Linked DNA regions of Kluyveromyces lactis. The protein of the gene in region 1 interacts with the protein of each later gene in a pairwise test. Links are inferred from orthologs where the notes say so. Each region holds a gene or a part of one and is shown on either strand. Other genes may lie near its edges. The genes, in order: RVS161, RVS167, AIM3, KLLA0_D12584g, LAS17 and RUD3.

Region 1 (2,994 bases):
AAATGATATGGTGAAAAAAAGCGCAGACCTAAAGGGATAAGAGAACCATAGGCCTTGTTCCAATCGACTTAGTCCCAAATGTCGATGATCTTCACGAGAAAAAATATTTCGGAGAAGGAGCGATAAGGTAGTTTGTTTCTTTCTTTTTCCTTCTTCAATATTATCGAAGGATCAATTAGGTAGGGGGTCAATATATCAAAGTTTTGTATGCCTCTTCAGACAAACCCAACCTCCCTTGCTATTCTACAGTTTAATAGAGCTGTAACTATTTTCGTTCGAACTTTCTCTTTCGATGATAGTCAGGTCAAAGATCATTTAGTAGCGTTTGATATTTCTTGAATTTTGAAATATCTGGTTTTTGTTCCGAAAACTTCGAAAAATTCATGTTGAATATGAAGTTACCCGGGAGAACACAAGGGATAGTGCGAGAGGGCAGACGACTCAGCCAGCAGTAGGATTAAAACGTGAATGTGAGATGAAGACATACATATACATATATACTGTGTTGTTGCTGCTTATTATTTGTTGAAACCTAGAGCGCAAATGTTTAGATTTGACATTTGTTGCAATAAATCGTCGATTCTTTGATCGAGAAGACCGTTTGCGTAATCATCACGTGACTGCTGGTCCAAATACTGTTGAATTTGCGCTAGTCTAGTGTACCCCTCAGTACAGAATCTCAACTGAATCTTCACTAATGCTTCGAAACTTGGATCGTAATAGGGCACTCTGAGGGAGACTAGTTGTGGAAGTTCTAATTTCAATTGGTCATTCAAATTATCGTAAATATCCTTAGCGAAGGCCAACTCTTTTTCGGCACGAGGTAACTTGGTAGCGTCTTTAGCCGGCTTATCGATAAGTCTACGCACCTTAGCCTTTGCTGCATCGTAATCCTGTTTTTTATGTTCTCTTTTCTTGATAGCTGTTTCAATTTCATCGAAATAAGTGGCGAATTTCGTGATTGGTTCAAGCACAGTTTCTCTAAAGGGCCCATCCAACTGTTTCACCGTTTCCGTATCAAAATCTCTAACACATTGTAGATAGTAGTTCCCTATATTGTGTGCTGACGCGCTGGTTGCCTTGGAATCATCGTACAAATCCGAGATAACTTCTGCAATAGTGACCTGAGACGCGGTAACTGCTCTTAGAGAATCAAGATATCCCTTTGCCTCCTTCTGTAATTCCTTACCTGCTTTCTCAAGGACCCTGTACCTACGCTCTTCCATTCCATAATCTTTATCATGAGTCTTGTCAACATTTTTGATGAGCACGCTGTTACCAGCACGGTTGATAGCTTTTTTAAACCCTTCCCAGGACATTAAACACAAACTTTTTTTTTTTTAGTTCACTTGGTGGGAACCTTTATTGAACTTATTCAACTAGTTTCTGCGATAACGCTAAATGATATAAGTTCTCCTATCGATGATGCACCGATATATATATGTTATATTTGTATGTAATATATATTATCTGTTTCAAGATTGTGTGATTAGTGGCTTTTTAGTGTTTCAGAGAAAAAAGACCCAAGGAAAAGGGGACACATCGTAAATAACGATACAGAATATCAATGCCGAGAAAAAAATTAAGGTAATGCAGAGAACTTCAGCGGCTTTTCCCCAAAATATCAGAAGGGGCGTGTAAAACCAGAATAAAATAGGAAAAAACAATGGTGTATTTATATAATCATCAAAATCATCATAATATTATAATTAAATAAGGAATATAAAAGCTGGAGCCAGTTTGGGAGGGCACGGACAAGGGAGAATTTCTAACAAGGTGAATGTAGAGAAATAAAGAAAGAAAGAAAGGAAGAAAAAAAAAATCATAAACACTGGAATCATACGTGTCAGAAATTTATTGTTGAATATTATTATTATTACCATCATTAATAGTAAATTGTATTGTTATTGAGGGAGAAAGAAGAAACCCTTGTCACATCCCTTTTACCGTAGTGAATAAACGTGTGGAAATAATCGCATAACAAAAAAGTCTTGATATTCCTCCTTAGAAAAACTTGGCCTTTGGCAATGGCAAAGGTCTGACAGTAATGTACGAGTTTTCGCGCGTAGCCACACCTGCAAATGCATTGTACCAAGCCATAAAGGCAACGATAACACCAAGCACACCTGCAGCACGTGTGACACCAGTTCTTCCGGTGAATTCACCAATGGTCAACAACAAGAAAGTAATGGACAATAGGAAGAAGAGACTGAAGAAGGCCAGAGTAGATTTCATTGTGCATACGGTAAGTCCCACTGTGAAGATGGTCCAGCCTAACAAGTAGAATCCGATGGCGTTTGCCAATTGGTCCGGAGCCTCCTCATAGGCGGCTCCGATTCCAAACCAAGGAATATGAATTGCAGCAAAGGACATCCAGAAACCACCGTACGAAGTCAAAGCAGTACCACCAAATGTGTTTTCCAAAGCGATTTCCCAGACACCGGCTACCATTTGGACAAACCCACCGTAGAAAACGGCCAATGACACAACCACGTTTGGAACTGTGACACCCATGGCCCGGGCATTGTACATAGATAACACAAAAGTAGTCAATGCGAAAGCGGATAAACCCAATGGTGCAGGATTAGCAAACTTGTGGGTTGCTGGAGGAGCAAGACCCGGGTTCAAAGTACCACCGAAAGCACCGTACAATTCATCCTTTAAGAACTTTTGACGTCCAATGAAAATGAACTCGTGATTTTCACCACCGGTCTGGACCTTTTGAAGTTCCAAATCGTCATGGTACACGTTAGGGTCTTGGGAATTGTATGCCGCGGTAGGGTGACCAGCGGTTTCTTGGTGTTGATGGTTGTGTTTCTCCGAGCTTTGACTGGACATTATTGGTTATGGTTATTAGTTTAAATTTTAATTTAGCCTTTTTTCTGTGCTAGATGTGGTTTAGCGACTGCTATTATTATTATTATTATTATTATTATTATTATTGATATATGTGTATGTATCTCTTAGAAGAAAGGGAGTACAGTTTGAAATTGG
Region 2 (3,465 bases), about 770 kb from region 1:
ATGTTTGAAACTAAATAAAGTTCATCAATGAAAAATGAGCCAAAAACTGAAAAAGGATCGAGAGGGCTTCTAGAAAGAGACGTGCAAGGAGGAAGTGGGATAGTGATATCCAAAGTATTTTGAAGGGAGGGGGCTTTCAGGCTCTGGTTGTGTGCACTGCAGTGGGAGCAGTTGTGATGGTGGGAGCTAATTGTTGCATTGAAATACATAGCTGGTTTTAAGTATATATAGAGACGTATCTCTTTCTGTTCCTGCAGTAAGGCTTAGTGTACTTTCTCATGGAATTCTTTTCCATCTTACCTGCTGTGTGCTTGGAAACCAGTGTGATTTTAGTGGCTGGCTCTGCTACTGGTGATGTGTAGAAATATAGGGGCATGTAGACAGGGGTTCTGACGAACCCCTTTCGTCTCCATGAAGCAATGTCTGACTATTGCCAGGTGACCAAATATCGTCAATTCCGTCGATAGTGATGTGCATTCTGTATCCTTTAAAAGCTATGGGGCATTCTTGAATTAAACAAGGTTAGAGTATATAGTAACTACAGGCTAGGAGAGCTTTTCTTTTGCTTTATTATTTTTTTCAAGTTCAGTCTATACACAGCAGAAAGGGAATGGAAAGTGACCAAGAGATTAGTTTTCTTTTGTTTTCATTATTGTTTCGATAGTTCGACGTAGTTCCCAGGGAATACACCTTGGACGCCATTGTAGACACCGACCCACCATCCTGCTGCATCGGAACGATCCACGACTTGGATTATGGCACCAGCAGGGAACGTCAAATCACCTTCGGCTTGGGCCGTGTAATCGTATAAAGCGGTACATGTCTCCACTCCTGCACTAGTGGGAGGAGTGTATGATGCCTGGGTCGCAGTGGTGGGCACCGAATTGTATCCTGCGATACCAGCGGCACCTGCAACACCTCCGATTGGATACTGTTGTTGCTGTTGCGGCTGTTGTAGTTTTGAGTCATAGCCCATCTGTTGTGGCTGTTCAGGCTGACCGTATGTTTGGCCGTATGCGGGTGGGCTCATTGGACTTCCAGGACTTGAGTCGTCAGTAGCACCATATCTTCTTCTGGTTAAATCTAGTTTGGCCTTCGAGTATCCCAGCTTGAAATGAGTAATGGTTAGTGCATCTGTTTGCTCTTCAATGTTGCCTCTTTTAGCTTGGAATGCCTCCAAGATGTCAGTATCCAGGTCAAAGTATGGGATCTTCATGTCTTGGAACCTGTTGTATAAGGTGTAGAAGATATTCAATTGCATGTAGTAGAATGAAACAAATAATGGTTTCACGAACTCTGATTCCAATTGGAAAAGTATAGGTAATTCAGTTTTCAACATATCGTTGTAGTAGTCGTATTCTTGTTGCATTACGGCGACTTGAGCCTCGGCTTTATATTTTTTCTCCTCATCCTTTGGCGTTGGATTCTGTTTTTGTTCATATTTGTTGTACGTGTTCAAGCTCCTATCCAAATCTAGCTTTTTATGGTTTCTCTTGGTGGACATCTTTCTAATGTAATTAATAATGTTCAAAAGCTCTTGTGCTGGTTTAACAATTTTCTCGTCAATCAGAGTTAGATCAGGCTTTAAAGTAGCTTGCAACTCAGAAACAATTGCACTGTACTGCTCACTCGCTTCAATACCTTCTGGATTGTCTTCTGGCACAGCGGCATTGGGATCGGACATCTTACCACTAATTGGCTTGAAAATTTCCGACATTGCCTTAGAAAATCCAATTTGATGCTCTAGCATACCGTTCACGGCATTGAAATATCTCTTTGACTCATCGCTCAACTTCTTCGTTTCCGATTCCAATTCCTTGAAACGACGATCAGCATCCTCATAAACAGGATCAACAGTCTGCTGACCCATGTTCAGTTTTTGCCTAAAAGACTGGGGTGCTCTGGCGACAGCTTTTGTAAAACCTTTGAACGACATGACTCTCTAGGGGGAAAATATATTGATTGTTATTTGCTTTCTTATTCGCTGTATACGCTCTAAACTTCAAAACTTAACGCTTTTTATCTGTTTAAATTCACGTTCTTCGTGTTTTTTATTTGAGTGCTCTCTCTCTTTGCCCTTATAATAAATTAACTTTCTTTCCCTCGACAAAGACGCTTGTTTGTCCTTCGAAAGATTAATTTAAGTTCAGATTTGCTCTAACAGACAACTCGTTGACACGCTGATTAGATATATATACCGCTTCAGTTGCCTTTCAAGTTTGCCCCTTTTACATGCCCTTCCAAAGTGATGAAATTGAAATTGTCCAAAGTTTGAATTTTTTTGAAATTGTATTGTGCATCGGCAAAAGCGTACAGAAAGGAAAAAGGCTTGGCTTAGTTCATCGGAAATTGGCCCAATGCATTTGAGCAGTAGGCTTGTGAAAAGTTAAGGGGATGGTCTATACTGTTATTAACGCCCATTGGTTCTCCTATTGGTTGTAATTTGAGTGCGTATCACTCAAATATGCTGCAAGCTTGACCTTGTTTTTTTTTAGGCCTGCTGACTCTAGGCTAATAGTCAATGTACCCTTCGGTTGAGAATAGTTGTGGAGCAAGGTACATAAAGTGCAGCAAGATTCTTGGTAGGATATAAGTTAGGTATATTTTTACATAACGGTTGTTTCGTTATGGATATTACAAGTAGTTTCGAGAAGTTACTGTCATTGGAGATGTTGTTTGTCCTCTTTTCATTTTAATGTCTTAATATAGTAAATGACACTTTAAATTACCGAATGGGATTTAAACCATTTTCTGACTCCAAGGCTCGAACAAAGATTTACAAACTTTAAACACTTGCTGTAATATCCCACCGATCTGTTCATAGAGCGGCGTTCTTACAATCCGTTGGACAGCAAAATCCAGCATATATTCTCTTAACCTGGTACCGTATTATGGTGGACGATATTGTACGATCTTCCTCACCGCAGCGAGATAGCAGTGTCGAAGATGTGTATTCGGATTTGTACTCCACTTTCTCTCAGATGACCACCACCACTGCAAATGATATTGAACAACGACCATACCCATTCACATGGAGGACGGGTATTATGTTTGTTAGTTCGACAATTGGTGGGATGCTTTTCGGTTACGATACTGGTGTAATTTCTGGGGTTTTAATAGCAATGAATCCAAAGGATTTAAACTTTCATAGTTTGGAAATTTGGCAAAAGGAAATAATCACTTCTATAACATGTGCTGGTTCATTCATAGGATCGATAATAGCATTCCCCTTGGCTGACAGATGCGGTAGGAAACACACGTTAACGGTTTGTTGCATCATTTTTGCTGCCTCATCGATGCTAATGGCAGTTTCTTACACTTTCGAGATGTTAGTCACCGGTAGGCTGGTCGTTGGTATAGCCGTTGGCATCGCAGCTCAATGCATTCCAATATATTTAACGGAAATTTCACCGGCAAAGATAAGAGGCACCATGCTTACGTTAAACTCTATAAGTATCACTGGCG
Region 3 (4,300 bases), on another chromosome or scaffold:
TTCTCCTTTACCTTTCGTTCCTCATTACTTTTTACTTTTCATCTTTCCATCGCTCAAATTACGCACAAGCACAACGTTTCAAGTAAATAGTTGCTGCTACAACGCTCTTACTGCAAATAGCTTTACAAATGCTGTGTAAATCCATTAATATAAAACGATGATCATTCGTACATGTGTATACAGTAGTGGATGTTGAATGCCATCCTGTGAAATAATAGCTTAAATGATAATAAGATGAAATGTAAAACACTAAAAAGAATAATGATAATGCGTGTTCTTTAGTCCCTATCTATAAATAATTATATAATTTGCAGCCGCGTTTTTGAGCCCTTAACGGGACTTCAGTGGTAAGTATGCTGTCTCGGTGTATGACTGTTTATAAAACTCTTTATTTTTTTTTGCGATGCGAGTAAATGCCACTAATGTGTTTAAAGTTATTTGGACTTATGAATATGATCCCTTTCTGCAGGAACTACATGCCTCAAATACTTCCTGAAAGAATTACCTTCTCCAGAATCGTCATCATCGTCATCATCAATACTGTTATTAGTTTCTTGCGTTAACGATGTGCGGGCTGACTCGTTATGTTCATGAGTGGCTGTACCGGACAAACTAGCCTTTTTCTTGGGGACAGGTGGTTTATTTCCTGCCCTTAATGATACCTTCTTTTTTGGCACTTTTGGAGGCGGTTTCTTATGTGCCGTTTGAATGTCTTCATCAATATTATAAGTTGGAGGAATAGTTTCATTAGTGGAATATCTTGGAGGTGGATCAAAAGTTCTACTTGGAACTGCCGGTTGCTCGGATGTGGTGGTATGAGAATCAGTCCTCTGTGGAGGAGGAGGTAAATCTGCTAGGGGTAACATTCTCATGGCAGGTGGTGCACTTTCTGAACTATTGGAGGCTGGTTCTTCCTCTGTATGCTGGGGCAACGAGCCATTTTGTTGTCCCGGCGGCGGCGGCAACGTTCTTGATGAAGCTTTAGCAACTCCACCATACTCTTGGGAAGGTCTGCGCGACGAAAGTGAAGTTTGAGGATCGTTAGCTGGCGAAGTTACCATTGATCTCGGTGGTTTGGGGGGAGGAGCGAAACCAACGTCAACATTATAGTTATAAGCACCTAACACCGCAGCTTGATGTACTTCCTCTTTGGGTCTACCTATGGGAGCACGTTCTGTGGAGGTAATGCGCTGGTGAGTTTGAATCGGAGGTAATGTCGGTTTCGAAGACACAGGAGGACGTGGAGGATTTGGTGGCTTATGTGATACTGTAGGACGAGCATGCGATACAGGTGGTGACATTGGCAATCCGTTATGCGTTGGCTTTGGCGGAGGTGGGAAAGATACAGTAGATTCATGATAAACTCCCGTGATACTTTCATTGGGTCTAACTTGGTCATCACCAACTTCAGCTGATGTTCCAGTTGCTGCAGCTGGGGTCACAGTGTTTGGTTTGGTATGATCAACAGATGTAGGTGGTCTGACATTCCTTGAAGGCAAAGGTGCAGGACCTGGTGAAAGTGATTTCCCCTTCTCCAATACGGATGCGTCCCTTGATGAACTCTTCAAACTTGAAGAAGATGACCTATCCTTGTGGAGAGGAGGTGTCACTTGATGAATATCAATTGCACTCACAGGTTGCAGCTCAATTTTCTTCTTCTCCTTCCGTTCATCAGAATCCATCCAAACGTATGGTTTAACGGTAATTGAAGCTGTTGATGAAACTGTAGATTCTTGAGATGCACCATGGCCAGTAGATGTTTGGATATTGGAGAGACTTGGTCTTTGCGCAAGTGCAGGAGCTGGAGATACAATGGGGTTTTGTTGCCCTGGCTGTTGTTGATACATTTGAGGTTGAGATGCAGGTTGGTAAGGAGTTTGCTGCTGTTGCTGATAATAATCCTGTTGAGGAATGGGAGGCTGTACAATAGGAGCCTGAACTGGTTGTTGATATTGTGGCTGCAAAGATTGGGTTTGTTGTTGGTACTGTGGCGGATATGACTGTTGATACTGCGGTTGTGCTTGCGGAGGTTGTTGGATGGGTTGCTGTTGAACCTGAGGTTGCATTTGCTGTATCTGCGGTTGAACTTGCTGCTGCCCTTGTTGCTGGTACTGAGCATAGGAATCGATATACTGCTGTGGCTGAGTCTGCTGCAGTTGAGGTTGAAAGTAGTTTTGTTGCTGTTGCATTAGTTGCCCTTGATTTTGAATCTGAGGCGAGGGTACCTGCTGAGACTGATATTGTGAGGTCTGCGGCTGAACCTGCGGCTGAACCTGCTGTTGCGACGCCAAGGGAGAGCCTTGGACTAATGCCTGGCCTTGATCAGGGGTACCCATTGATGGTTGGAACTGTTGCTGTAACTGCTGTTGTAGTTGTTCTTGTACGTGTTGTGCATTAAGCGATGGAATAGGGGTATATTGTGGGGGCGTTTCTACGGCAGTCTGATAATTTCTTGGAGGAATTGGTTCAGGATGAAGCTGCTGCATTGGCTGCTGCGATAACTGCTGCCCTGGCTGTGGGATTTGCTGTACTTGTGGTGGTACTTGCTGTTGCATTGGCGGTTGTGGTGGCGGTTGTTGTTGATACATATTCTGCGGAGGATACGTTTGTTGCTGAGTAAGCATAGGAATACTGTTCGCTGTCGGTGTTCTTGGAGGCAACCCTGGGTGTGAAGCAGCATTGGCCATCGGCACAGCAGCAGTATGCACCAGAGGAGCGTTACCAGCATCAATGACAGTCCCATCACTGGATATCTGTTTCTGTCCCGGTTTTAAAGGAGGCGGTGGAAACATCTTAGGATCTTGTAAATGAGACAAATCTGAAGCCGATTCGCTCATATAGCCTTCATCGGAACTCTCCTCAACATTCTTCTTGCCTTGGGAATTGTTATAATGCGTCTTACTGGCCTTATACCCTGCCTTTGCTACATATTTCGTGCCCTGATAACCATATTTTCCGGCGCTTGCCAGACCAGACATAATACTGCCCTTGTTATTATCCCAAAAATTACTCATGAATAAGGCGCTTCAAAGACTTGAGAAAACTGCCACCGCTGACGAAAGAGTGTTCCGTATTATAATGATGTTCTGCAATCGCGCTATACAATGTATAACTAACGAACTACTGATTTATACCGGTCCAAACTCTTGCTTCTCCTTTATTTCCCTTTCGGTTTAGGAGTCAAATTCTGTTCAGTTTGAATCTTTTTCTCAAAACCTTTGATTTTCACTATTTAAGCTGTTAAAGGCATAGAGCCGATCTACATGAAGGTTTAAAGGTTACTACTACCCTAAGATGAAAAGAATGCAGGGGTAAGTTGTCGTTTCCCAGGACCGAGAAGCGTGTATCTAAGCAGAGGTCAATCTCTTGTAATATTGCTGGTCATTGATATAATTTCCTTTCTCGAAAGATGAATGGCTTGGAGCGATGGTATTTTTATCATTCACCAGATGATATTCGGATCGATGTGCTCATTGAAGATCTGCGTGAGTTCTGCAATGTTGATGTGGCTGATATAGATGGTGAAGAAGGAATTTGGCTTATAGATAATTCTGAGGACGAATTACGTGTATTTTTGAGTGATACAGTATGTTGTACTAATAGTCAACAGGATAATCGGATTACAAAGACATTAAGCAAACACCAGGTGTACCTGGTGCCCTTACAGCTTGACAATGAGACTGTATACCAGTTTTTAACAGAAATTACATCCAATATGGACGTTGTGAAAATCGATTATATGACTAGGGACACCAAGTTATTGAATCAATTTCAAATCCAAGTGAACGTCAGCGATTTCCCCGCTGGTTTGCATCTTTTACCTAAATTATTAAGCGATAGGTTAGGGATCTCGAAAGAGTTCCCAATAAAAACAGTACATATTGTCCAGCAGAGAGTGACACTGCGATCGACATATATCGAGCAACCAGACTCATCAAATGCCAATGGTGTTCTATTAGAATATTTGTTAGGATGTAAGAACCTCATAGTTTAACTATACACATTACCATATATGTAAAATGTCATTTGAATATAAGTCATTAGCCCATCAATATGGGGGGAGTGGGGTCATGCACTGCATTATAATAAATAGGATGTTGAAAAAAGCAAGAACATCATGTTTCCTGGTCTAAACCGAAACTGCTACCGCATCCACAACTACTGGTCATACTTCCTCCAGTAATCTTGAAAGTGGAACCGATTAATTCGGTACTATATGTGAGAGTGGTATCGTTCAAAATCTTTAGGGACTGCTCATCAATAACAACTTCGCCGATGGAATCAGGTAATACATAAACGA
Region 4 (4,235 bases), on another chromosome or scaffold:
GTTCAAAGTCTCACTCCATAGTCCTTTTCTAATAACGTTTGGACTCCATGATCTCCTGGTTTTTGTCTTCGATTCAGCGATGTTATTACCGAATTGGATGAAAGACGCACCGTATAAACCTTTGTTACTCTGTTTGTAAATTGGAGATTCTCCGTATGGATAATCAGGGAATTCCTTCTTCTCCTTTGGGATATATAATGGCTTGCTGTCGCCGACTTGATACGTCTTTGGAGTTGGGATCTGTCTGCTTTCAACTAATCTCCATTCTCTGAGGAGGTGGCTAAGAGTGGAAAACCCTCTTTGGGAACTTGGAAAAAACTTCATTCCAGATGAACGATCTCCGTGCTTATTGGTGAACGTACAGAGACTCTTAGACCAACTAGCTTCATACTAGGTTCAAGCTCCTTCTCTTCACCTTAGTGCATGTATCAAGTCGTTATTTTCTAAAATTTTGAATAAGCTTTGGAAAGATCAAAACCGTATACAGCGAGAATGGTAAAGCATAAGGAAATTTATGATTAGAATACACCTCTGCGTAATGGTTGGCGGTATCATGTATGTATGAAGGGTATGTATATATGTACGGCTGGATGGATATTGTGAATGAGGTCCCTGTTGCAATTTTTCTCATTTCTTCCATGGTGATTTGAAAGCCCAATTCCCGAGACGATTTCCCTTTGGATTGGTGGCATCTTTGGTCCAAGTCTTACCTGTGCGTAATTCATAGTTCTCTTTTTCTAATTCGTCAAGGCGTGTTCTGAGCTCTTGATTTTCGTCCATAACTTCCAGATTTCTTTCCATTGTTCTATTCAAATCTGCTTTCAAATCTGTGGGAATTTCAGCATCTGGATTAGGTAACGTTTGTTTATAAAGTTCACGTTCCAGTTGTTTCTTCAAATCTTCTATCTCTAGTAATAAATCCTTATTTTCGTCCTGAAGAGTTTCCATCCGAAGTCTGTTTTCAATTAGTTCATTGGCAATAGTGATATGCTCTCTGTTTAATAGCGAATAGTCATTTTCTAATTTCTTCAACTCTTTTTGAAGCTGTCTGTTTTTAATTCTTTGTTCCTCATATTGTTGTTCCTTTTCCGTTTCCAACTTGTGAATCTCATCGTACTCTTTCACGTAACGCTCCAATTGCAATGGAGTTAATTTGATTTCCAACGAATCAGAGATGAATCTATCAATATCGTACTCTTCTGGGTTCTCCTTAGAAGCATAGTGTTGGAAAAGGTCCTCCTTCAAGAAGTCTAAGAGAGAATCGAAACTGAGAATGATCAAATTACGACTGTTCTTTAACATCAACGTTAAACTGAATTTTAGCATCGATTCGATACCTTCAAGTATGACAATATCCATGATTCTGAGAACGAATTCAAGGGGAAATTTGTATGCGAACATCGTCAGGAACCATTGAGTTGCAAACATTGTAGATCTTATTCCCTGCCTGATCAAATGGTTATACAATTGAGGATCATTTTCCTCCAAAAGTGTATCAAATTGGTACAATTTCAACATCAGGCCAGGCATTCCCGGCAAGAATAAATCCCTTAATCCGTATACTTTCATGAGTTTCGTTAATAGAGAAAACGCTTGCCATTCTTCTTCACAGTTCAATATTAAAGTAGTAGCAATAAAACCCATGCCCTGTGTGTAACCAACTGGTGGGTCATAAAGAGAGTAAGCCTTGAGCACGCTGAATAAAGAATCTGTCTTACCTTCTGGGATGAACTTCGTTCTAGATAAATCTCTTTTGATTGCCTTTTCATGCGGTGACTCCAATAGAAGTAAGGAACAGTATAACTCCTCCATCTCCTTGTAATTTGAACTGGTTAGTAGCTGCCATATAATACCACGGACTTGAGTTGGGATACCTTTCCCTACTTCAGTTTCTAATTTCTTTGAGTCATCCTTGACTATATCGCTAAAATTATGAACCAGCTTACTCCAGAATGGCCAATCGTATTGTACCAATTCTTTGTCCGCATGATCTAGTAAGCTATCATATTCTTCTCTTAGTGTCTTGGTACCTTCTTTTGCATGCTCACGCTCTTTGTCATCTCTTAGTTCCAATTCGGTTTCGTTTTGAATGAATCTGTTCAATATCAAATCGAAATCACTGCTGTCGGAACGTTTATGCTGATTAAAATGAGCACGAAACTTGGGAGACTTCATTTCCTCGGACAATGGTGGAGGTACGAAATGTACAGGTCCAGATAAAGACGTTGCCACATGAGATCTTGAAGGAAGTGGTGGTTTCTCTCCCGCAATGTGGTCCCTTGGAGGTAAATGTGGTGGCTTAGTTTCGTTATTGAATGACTCAATCTTCTGTTCTAAAATCTCTTGCTTGGATTTTATCACACTCTCATTAGATAAACTATCCTTATCAGTATCAATTGGTTCGGTTTCATTATTAACAACCTCCACTGTATCTGGTGCTTCACTTTCTACCGTTGAACTATCCACTGGTTCATCTGCAACTTCTTCCTTCACCTCAATAGCACCAGTGATAGGAGGAGAATCTTCATTATTCTTCTTTTCCGTAGCAGCAAAACTGACATCAGTCTCCTTTATTTCATTAGCACTGGGAGCACCGTCATTAGCAGGTGCGTCTGCTACATCCGGCTGTTCTGTTTCTATTTCTATTTTGTCCCCTGATGGCTCAACATTCTCGGACTCATCTAATGGCAATTCCGCATCATTTGATGCCGTAGATTTAACATCATCTTTAGTTTCTACCTGATCTGTCATATCTGAACAGTATTCAGCCCGCTTATAGTGTTTCAAGAGGTTTCGTGCTACTTTCCTTCAAGGTAACATAGGGTTGATGGGCTTTAAACAATTATACAATGGTCAATATTTCAATCTTGTTCGAGAGAATAGCCTGAAACGGCTGGCCGGGTAATTTTATAAACAGACGCGCGACTGGAATGTTCGAGTGTCAGTTAAAGCGAAGCCGTATTGCTTATAATAGGAATGGATGATTCACCTAATATACAACGTGTTGGCGTTAGTATACTCAGAGAAACAAAATATAGCATTGGTGGATATATGTCTAAATATTTAGAGGGTTAAATAGTGCTTAAAGAAAAGACCAAGATTAGTGATATATTAGTGCATACCCAAGTCTCTATACTTCTTAACTAAAGACCAGTAGTAATGTTTAGTTCTGTTTCTGAGGCCCGGACCCCAAATTACCATTCCAACAAATGTCAAGTTACATGCTAAGAGAATGAAAGCGGCACTGATAAATGCGTTTTTCAAACCAAGGTTTTCAATCCATTTGGTGATACCAAAGGAAACAGCAAAGGACATGACATTTCTGATGATGATAACCACGACCATCGCTTCAGTATCCAATTCCTTGTAACAGTCAATAGCATATGTCGTGGAAATGGTGATACCAAACATTGAACAACCACCTAACATTCCAAGACCAAACACCAAACCAAACCAGTGGATTTCATAGTAAGCACCGACGCCCCATAGAATACACGCAGCGACACCAATGAAACAGTAGATTATAACGGTGTACAATCTGTCTTCTGGCAAACTGAGACCACCACGATATCTGGCAATACGGACCTTCAACCAATCGGAGAAAGTACCGACTAGGAAAAAGACAATGAAAGAGAAGATCAATGGAGAGAAGTAAGCAAGACCACAAGCCGTACTGGAAAAGTTGTATGGAGGAGCAGCTAAGATAAGGACCTCAGTTGCGTTTAAAACATTGAACCAAATTAGGGATTGACCGTAGAAGAAACCTGCCCATAAGATACCAGGTAAACCGAATAAATAAAATGGTGCCATGAAGTAATGATGTAGTAGGAATTTTTCCTTTGCACCACTTGTCATGGAGAGTTTACTCCAGAACGTTTTAGTCGATTTTCTCTGTTGCACGGTCGCTCCGTCCACAACTTCAACTCGGCTCAATTGGTTCATGATATTTGAGTTTTCAGCACTTAACACTGAGTGCAAAACGTCGGGTACATCACCAGTGACACCACCGACGCTATCTGAGCTGGTTTCATCCACGTTGATATGATTATTTTCTTTATTCAACAAAGTGTCGATGTTGGCTGTAGCTGAAAATACATTTGAAACGACAGTGCCATCGTGGCGGTCCATTGTGATCGGTTGGCCAGTTCTGGAATCGATCTTTAGTTTACGATCGTAATTAGTCTCTTCCATGAAGAAGAATAGAAACACGGTACAAACAGCAGCAAAAATGGCAC
Region 5 (4,096 bases), on another chromosome or scaffold:
AATGTGAACACCTAGAGTTATTATCAAATCAAGGTAACTTAGGACTCTTGACTGAGTATTTGTCTTCTTCAGTGAAGCTTCTACAAGATTCAATCGAAGAGTTAGAAGAGTGGTTGGAGGATCCAGTAATAAATTCAGACCCATTCGGAATGAATGACAAGTTCAGTGATGAGGAAGGTACGGATTTAGATGAAGAAGAGGAAGAGGAAGCTTCAGAATCCATGATTGAATTTGTCAAATCACTATCGCAAAAATCTCGTCTCCTTAAGCTCTTGTTGAGTTCATTATCCAAATCGATAACCATAAAAAAGGATACTGTAACTACAGCAGCATATCTATCTGAGCTAAATCAACTCCACAATTCAATAGTTTCTAACTCTGATACTTTAATTTCATCCACCTTAGTGAACGCTGAATATGAAGTAGATCCAGAAGTGGAAACATCAGTACTTGCTATCAATAATGATGTTAAGAAAGTTATAAAAATTATTACACAGCTAAACGGTTCAGATGAGTCCAAGTTGAAATGGATACAGGTATGGTCAAATAAGTGGAGTTCTTTGAATAATTAGTTTAGTTTTATCTGTCTTCTGTTTTAAAGGCATCTGAAAGTAATATATAGGTACACCGTACATACAAATACCAAATCATAATTCCACAGTCTAGTCAGATGCAGTTCAAGTAGGGTGAATTACTTTCACCAATCATCACCGTTGTCTATATCATCGTCACGAGCAACTTTATTCTTTCTTTGGTTTAAAGCCGCAGCTAGGGCATCAGCCAAGGACGCAGGAGCACCAACAGGTCCGCCAGTTGACCCGCCTGTGGGTTGAGATACCGGCGCATCACTACGAACTTCTTGTAACAAAGGACTTGGCTTTTCAAGTTGAGATTTATCCACCTTACGGAGGGAATTCAGACCAGCTCCACGAATCGATGCTAATAAGGCATCCCTTCCAGCATCACCAGTATTTTCAACAAAACCAGATCCTGCTTCAGGTTGATTAAATGCAGGGGCTGGAGGAGGAGGAGGAGGTGGTGGTGGTGCGGGCGCTGAGTTCGTTATCTGTGGAGCAAAAGGTGCCGGAGGGGCAGGAGGTGCTGGGGGAGGTGCAGTGCCATTAGGTACCGCTATATGATGCTGGGGTTGGGCTAACATAGGCTCGGTCGATGGGTGATACTGAGTGCTTACACCTGAGTGGGGTGGTAAGACAGGGGGAGGCGGAATGTATGCGGTTTGCTGTGGTGGTTGATATTGCTGAACAGGAGGCGCTGCATTGTAGGTATTATGCTGTTGAAGAGGAGGAGATTGCATTTGTGGTGGAAGCTGGGGCTGGGGAGGGCCGATGGCTGAGTTATGAGTTGTACCTCTGCTTGCAGGTGGAGAAGGAGCCTGGCCACCACGTCTAGGTGGTGGTGGTGGTGGAGGCCCTCTTCCAGTACGACTATGCTGACCGCCAGTTGGAGCATTAGGTAGAGGACCTCTTGAAGGAATGGACGGCGGAGCAGCTGAGCGTCTTGGAGGGGGAGGTGGTACCGGACCACGCCTCGAAACTGGAGGAGCAATACCAGGTCTCGTTGAAGTTGGTCTCGGAGGTGGTTGCAGACCAGCAACAGAATATTGTCCAAACTGAGGAGTGTTGTTATTAGTGACGTTTTGTTGTTGAGCTGGATGGGAAGGTGGAGGAGGGATTGCAACGCTTTGCTGCATAGGCGGAATCGAAGGAGGTGCTGCAGGTGAAGGAGAATTATGCTGCTGCTGGAATTGCGGATGAGGTGACTGAGCCAGTGGACGATATTGTTCTGCTGGTAAAGGAGGAGGAACTGCATGTACCGGGTGGTTTATTGGTGGAGGAGGATTACTTGGTGCTGGTGTTGATGCATAGGATGAATCCGGGGTAGGAGAATGAGTAGAGGAAACCGATGGAGGTGCAGGAGAGCTTGGGAATGATGGAATAGAGTCGTACTTATAAGATGGGATGCTCACAGGAGGAGGAGGTTGTTTCTCGACAGGCGGTGGCGGTGGTTTCGAGGCAAAAGAAGGAGGAGCGGCACTTGCATCTGAAGCTGAGTTTTCAGTTGAAGCATAATTCTGGCTGGGCTGCTCGTAATGGTGTTCCTGGCGGTGCTCGTGCTTTTCCGGTTCATATCTATATCTGACCCTTTGGTCACTGATCAAGGATTCGCCTCTTGGACCATGGATCACTTTACTCTCTTCCTCTTTCTTAATTTGGTCCTCTAATGCAATTGCATTCTTGTTGGCCAAGGTCTTCTTGGACGCGTATTTCTCCCGTTTCTGTACTCGTTTCAAAAAATGTGAAGCATCGCCAATATCGGTGAATAACAACCCGGCGTTACATTGTTCTAATTCAAAGGTATGAAAGAAAGTACGATCCTGGTTATATTGAAAGTTCACGTACAATTCTTGATCCCAGAGAACACCTCGATGCCCATGCACGTCGATCAACTTCAAAAAGAAAGTATTACCAACGATATCGTCCACCAATGCAATGGCACCAGATAAGCCAGTATAAACCCATTTCTCTGGATTAGGGTATGCAATGTATAACCTAGCGATAGTAACATCTATAATCTTGTTAGAAGCCTTGGGCAAAGCATGTTTAACCTTTTCTTTCTCAGCAGAATTCAAGCCTCCCATAGTATACTCGGAAACAACTGCTTTATGATTATTAATTTCTCAAAAGAAGTGTAAACTCGTTCAACTTGAAATCAATTCTTGACGGAGGCAGCTACCGATGGGTTCTAATGAAAATAACACAAACGCGCGATGCACTTTAGGGAGTGGGGGGGTTTGGCTGACTATAATTTACGGTTCTTAAGTTTTCGGTCTGTTTAACATTTCGCAACTTTTCAATTTTTCAATATTGAAAGTTGAAGCGATTCTTAATACGGCATTATTCCCCTATAATTCACAGAGTGATTCAGTGAAAGAAGAAGGGACCAACAGAACTGCGAGAGAGATAAAAAAAAAAGGACCTTTACACAATGGGGTTTGTTCAAGTTGCCATATTGAATTCAAAAGTACTAACAGACCATTTGTAAATGGGAATACAGTGTGCCCATTTAGGTCACTGCAAGGTACAGGAAAGACAAGAAGCATTTCAGTACGAACACGCATTCGAACATAATACGGAGAAAAATTAAGAGTTCTGTTTACTGATACATCTGGCCGACGCATGTGGACGTGGTTACAGCGGCACAATGGCAGAAGAATTTCTGTCCTGACCCAGGAACCGTCTGGCACTGCAGCATCTGACAAAAGTCAGAATCACTTTGTACGTGTTGATCGCTTTATGCTGGGTTTTTTTGGCAACCAGCATGCGGTATTCAAAAGGTAAACAACAGCTACATGCTCGAAGAGATCAGAGGGAGAAACATCGAAAGATGGTTTTTTTTTGCAGGTGGACGGTGTTTGGATTGCGTGCTTATGATGTGAAATAGTTTACAACAGGCGGCGTGATTGGGTTTACATTTTGTGTCTTGTTTACAGTTACGTTAAACGTAAATGCTTTCTTCTCTTTAGTCCAGCGTAAAACTCTTCCAAAAAGAATTCTTTTTCCTAGGCACTTTTTTGACACGAAATTATGTTTTAGCATATTACAGGAACAGCTTTTGGATGTTGCGAAACAAAACGAAACGAAACAGAGTAAACATAAACAGTGAGCAGGAGCAAGTGTTTGAGAATGCTTTCTGTGGTGTGTTTGTTTACATGCTTTGGAATGTTTGAAACAAGTGCTGGGGTCCAGCTCGATGTCATATTTTGTGATTTCTGGTATATAAAGGGCACAACAATGGCAGGATGAGGTACCAGTAATGCAACTATCAATCATTGTGTTAAACTGGTCACCAGAAATACAAGATATCAAAAATTACTAATACTACCATAACAGTACTTACCTGTGTGCGTGTGCTATCTCTCTATACAAGCCTTTAAATTTTAATCTGTCACTCTTTATTAAAGGATTACATATTCTGACATTCGCAGGATACTAGTATTGAAATTAGAGAACACCCTCCATTCATTCCTTTAAAAGTATTAACAGAATCTACAATGTTTCACCCTCGTTTACTTCTG
Region 6 (3,540 bases), on another chromosome or scaffold:
CAAATTCATCTAGATCCTTATCCTTACTGTCAATTTCCTTGTTCTTAATTGTAGATAGTACACCTCTAATGGTTGTCTTTCTTAGGTTGTCTTTTGCAAGCATTGCCTTCTTCAAGTCTTGTTTTAATGCAGCGATCCCATCAATGTAGCCTTGAGAACTGGCAAATCTAACAAAGGTTCTGGTCGTTGCAGTAGCGCGAACGCTTGGGATAACACATCTTAACATCTTTGTATTCGCTAATGATTTGGATGCTTGTCTTGAAGATTGAACCAAACGATCAAGATTATAGAAGGTCTATTAAATGTAACGTTTCTTTGTATTTGTTCATAGGTGCCGGTGTCTTTTGGGTTACTTGAATTTTCATAGAAATTATCATCAAGATGCAATTTTATTACCGTTGATCGGTTAAGTAAAAAAAAATATTCAGTGCAAGTCGCGCTTTTCTTTAAGTTTGTTCCAGACGGCTTATGATATTTGACTGGATTAGTGAATAATTGAACTAACTTAGTCTATATATTTATGTGTTAGAACGTTTATAGTACAAATCACTTTTAGAAAGTTTCTGCAGGATGACAGCCAAAGCGCAATCACTTCTCGCTTTCCTTTTCTAGGAATTCAGTCCAGAGAGAAACGAAATTCTGGGTTCGCGATTCGGAGTTTGTATTGCTCATATTCTGAATGAGACCAGCTTGAGTCTTTTTATCGGTGTCCCAGTTAAGGAAACTTGAAATTAATTCCAAGACTTCAAATTTCTTTGGATCACCTCTTGGGATAGTAACAAATGAGATGAAAAGGTTAGATATCAACTCTTTGTCGACACTTTCAGAATCATTGTTTTGCTTTAGCATCGCTAATGCTTTTGTTAGATGTTCATTTAATATGATAGCCTCGTGGCGTAGTTTTCCTATCTGTAGAACTCTTTCTTTCACCTCTCGTTCAAATTTCTCCTTTAATGCTACATCTTCACTCATGGACGCTACTTTTGCCCTCAAACTATTGATTTCGGTAGCTTTTTCTTCATTATTTTTCGTTAATTGTGCTATTTCCTCGGTGAATTGGTTGACTTCTGTTGTCCGTTGTTTGGTTAGAGTCTCAATAGTAGTGTTGTTATCATTTATTTGCTTTTCTAAATTTGACATTATATTATCAAGCTGTTTCTTAGTTTCATCACTTTGTTCTAATTGCTGTTTGTAGTCAGCTATCTGCTCTTCTAAATCTCTTTTATCTTGTGCCTCATTGTTGATGATAATTTCTAAATTATCGATCTGAGATTTTAAGCTTTTGACTTCAGATTTAAGACAAGAAGTAATGTTAGACTCCTCGTTAGATGCCTCGTTCAACTTAGATTCCAATTCTTTGATTTTGGACTTGAATTCTGAACATTCATTACTCAAATTTTCACATTCTTTATTGAGATTGACGATTTCATCATTCAAAATAGAAATGGTTTGCTTGTCCTCTTGGATTTCTGAATCAGCAGATTTTAGCTTCTGTTTTAAATTTATATTCTGATTCTCATACTCATTCAACTGCTCACGAGTGTTTTCCAGTTCCTGTTGAGCTTGCTTCATTTGACTGAACACGGTCTTCATAGATGAGATTTTACTCAAAAGAGTGTTATACTTCAATTCGTACTGATCTCTTTCCTCTTTAACACGCTGTAGATCGTTCTCCTCAGAATCACTGTGCGGTTCTGCCTCTGCATTAGAGTTTGTTGTGGCTTCGTGTGATTGCTGTTCCTCTGGTTCAGGTTTCGATGGCTTGTCATCTGTTTTCACAGTAACAACCGCTTCCACAGTTGACTGGTCAGCACCATCAGAGTTTTCTAGAGAATCATCCGGTACCGCGACAGCTTTAGCGCCATCATTTTCAGGAACCACTTCTTGGACTGGCTCTGTAGCCTTGACATCTTTTGCTGAACCAGCAGACTTTGATTTATTGTTACTGTTGTTGCCCTTCTTCTTGTTCTTGGCCATTTTTTTTCTTAATGCGGTCAGATGCCAATTGCTGTTTGGGAGCCCCTAATTTTGACAGGAACAACTATCCTTGATCTATGGGTTATATGCCAAGGTCACTTCGGTACTCTAGATTTATACGTTGTGCAGATGAACAAGTTGTAGAAAGCCAATTCATTTCTTTCGATAGTCTATATACGTCAACATCGTTCGTTTTTCTTCAATCTTTAAACCAACAATTTAAATGTTAAAATCATAGAAAACCAGGAAAAATACCAGTAATAACGAGAACATCGCTGATAAAACAGAAACTGACAAAGCGTGAGTGTCGGATATAGATGTGTTAGAGGGTTTTCAGTGTTATCTGATTCTAGTGTAATAGTACAATTGAAGTGGTGTCCGAGATGGGAGACATAACGGATAAATTGAGAGCTGCAAAAAATAAGAGGGCAGGGCACGGAACAAATCATGCTTCACCCAAGAAGCCCAAGAAGGTCAAGAGCCAGGCTGCTGAAACGATTGACTTGGATTTGGATGACGACGAACTAGAATTGCTGGCGTCACAACCGAGAAGAAGCCGGAGCAATACTACCGCAGCCGATGAGAAAGAGCAGTCACCTGCAAAGAAACCAAGGATAAGTGAACCTTCATCGAACGGATTGACTAAACCAGACGTTAGTAGGGTTAAAAAAAGCGATTCTCCGCAAACTGTAAAAGAGCTTTTAGACTCTATACCTTCTGTTGATCTTGATAATGTTACGACGAAAGAAGCCACGCAGTTTTCATGGAAAGGTGCAGGAGGTGATGGTTCTGGTGCATCCAGTGAATTGGAGATCCCAGAGGGTCAAGCAAACTGTTTGCTCGGGCTAACCATTGTATTCACAGGTACTTTGCCTAATCTTGACAGATCTACCTCAGAAAATCTAGCAAAGAGATATGGTGCTCGTGTCACCAAATCTATTTCCAAGAACACATCCGTTGTTGTGTTAGGGGAAGAAGCAGGACCTAAAAAGCTCGAGAACATCAAGAAGTTGGGTATAAAGGCCATTGATGAAGAAGGGTTCAAGAGACTAATTGCAGGTATGCCTGCAGGTGGTGGTGATAACCAACAAGCAGACAAAGCTAGAAGGAAGTTACAAGAACAACAAGAACAAGCGATGAAAGAAGCTGAACAAATGGCGAAGGAACAAGAGGAACGTGAAAAGAAGGATAAACTATCGGTGGGAAAAGATGTCAATCTTTCAAGTAAAAGTACTGTTACTGAAGACAGTAAGTTATGGACCACGAAATATGCGCCTACTGATTTAAGACAACTTTGTGGTAATAAAGGAGCCATCCAAAAATTGAAAACTTGGTTAGAGAGCTGGAGTTCTGGGAAAAAGCCTAGTATGAGAGCAGTGATGTTATCAGGTCCACCAGGTATTGGCAAGACGACAGCCGCTCATTTAGTGGCGAAATCTTTGGGATATGATGTTTTAGAGAAAAATGCATCTGACGTTCGTTCCAAGGGTCTGTTGAATGCCAGTGTCAAATTTGCGTTGGATCATAAATCAGTCATTGGGATGTTCAAAAGCATATCAGATG

The links.
Region 2: the proteins of RVS161 (region 1) and RVS167 interact in binary tests that used the Saccharomyces cerevisiae proteins (3 or more experiments, as listed by UniProt). The link is inferred for Kluyveromyces lactis from reciprocal best matches to the Saccharomyces cerevisiae genes RVS161 and RVS167.
Region 3: the proteins of RVS161 (region 1) and AIM3 interact in a two-hybrid assay, tested with the Saccharomyces cerevisiae proteins (3 studies listed by BioGRID). The link is inferred for Kluyveromyces lactis from reciprocal best matches to the Saccharomyces cerevisiae genes RVS161 and AIM3.
Region 4: the proteins of RVS161 (region 1) and KLLA0_D12584g interact in a two-hybrid assay, tested with the Saccharomyces cerevisiae proteins (4 studies listed by BioGRID). The link is inferred for Kluyveromyces lactis from reciprocal best matches to the Saccharomyces cerevisiae genes RVS161 and GYP5.
Region 5: the proteins of RVS161 (region 1) and LAS17 interact in a two-hybrid assay, tested with the Saccharomyces cerevisiae proteins (2 studies listed by BioGRID). The link is inferred for Kluyveromyces lactis from reciprocal best matches to the Saccharomyces cerevisiae genes RVS161 and LAS17.
Region 6: the proteins of RVS161 (region 1) and RUD3 interact in a two-hybrid assay, tested with the Saccharomyces cerevisiae proteins (2 studies listed by BioGRID). The link is inferred for Kluyveromyces lactis from reciprocal best matches to the Saccharomyces cerevisiae genes RVS161 and RUD3.

Annotation. Positions count from the first base shown.
Region 1 is NC_006041.1:1,052,755-1,055,748, reverse strand, and holds RVS161 (amphiphysin-like protein RVS161), read right to left. Parts: upstream 1,320-2,994; coding exon 519-1,319; downstream 1-518. Other genes in the region: KLLA0_E11881g (acetate uptake transporter family protein), read right to left, coding at 2,005-2,838. UniProt on the Saccharomyces cerevisiae protein: Component of a cytoskeletal structure that is required for the formation of endocytic vesicles at the plasma membrane level.
Region 2 is NC_006041.1:280,014-283,478, reverse strand, and holds RVS167 (amphiphysin), read right to left. Parts: upstream 1,937-3,465; coding exon 650-1,936; downstream 1-649. Other genes in the region: CIN10 (Cin10p), read left to right, coding at 2,892-3,465. UniProt on the Saccharomyces cerevisiae protein: Component of a cytoskeletal structure that is required for the formation of endocytic vesicles at the plasma membrane level.
Region 3 is NC_006038.1:826,433-830,732, forward strand, and holds AIM3 (Aim3p), read right to left. Parts: upstream 3,015-4,300; coding exon 435-3,014; downstream 1-434. Other genes in the region: KLLA0_B09482g (uncharacterized protein), read left to right, coding at 3,410-3,994; ISA2 (Isa2p), read right to left, coding at 4,116-4,300.
Region 4 is NC_006040.1:1,065,405-1,069,639, forward strand, and holds KLLA0_D12584g (uncharacterized protein), read right to left. Parts: upstream 2,752-4,235; coding exon 628-2,751; downstream 1-627. Other genes in the region: MRPL24 (mitochondrial 54S ribosomal protein bL28m), read right to left, coding at 1-324; KLLA0_D12606g (uncharacterized protein), read right to left, coding at 3,112-4,235. UniProt on the Saccharomyces cerevisiae protein: GTPase-activating protein which accelerates the GTP hydrolysis rate of YPT1 and SEC4. Involved in ER to Golgi trafficking and polarized exocytosis.
Region 5 is NC_006039.1:433,283-437,378, reverse strand, and holds LAS17 (actin-binding protein LAS17), read right to left. Parts: upstream 2,660-4,096; coding exon 698-2,659; downstream 1-697. Other genes in the region: KLLA0_C04796g (uncharacterized protein), read left to right, coding at 1-572; KLLA0_C04752g (uncharacterized protein), read right to left, coding at 3,447-3,851; CTS1 (chitinase), read left to right, coding at 4,073-4,096.
Region 6 is NC_006040.1:590,553-594,092, forward strand, and holds RUD3 (Rud3p), read right to left. Parts: upstream 1,978-3,540; coding exon 589-1,977; downstream 1-588. Other genes in the region: AIM41 (Aim41p), read right to left, coding at 1-226; RFC1 (replication factor C subunit 1), read left to right, coding at 2,361-3,540. UniProt on the Saccharomyces cerevisiae protein: Involved in the structural organization of the cis-Golgi and in vesicle targeting/fusion stages of ER to Golgi transport.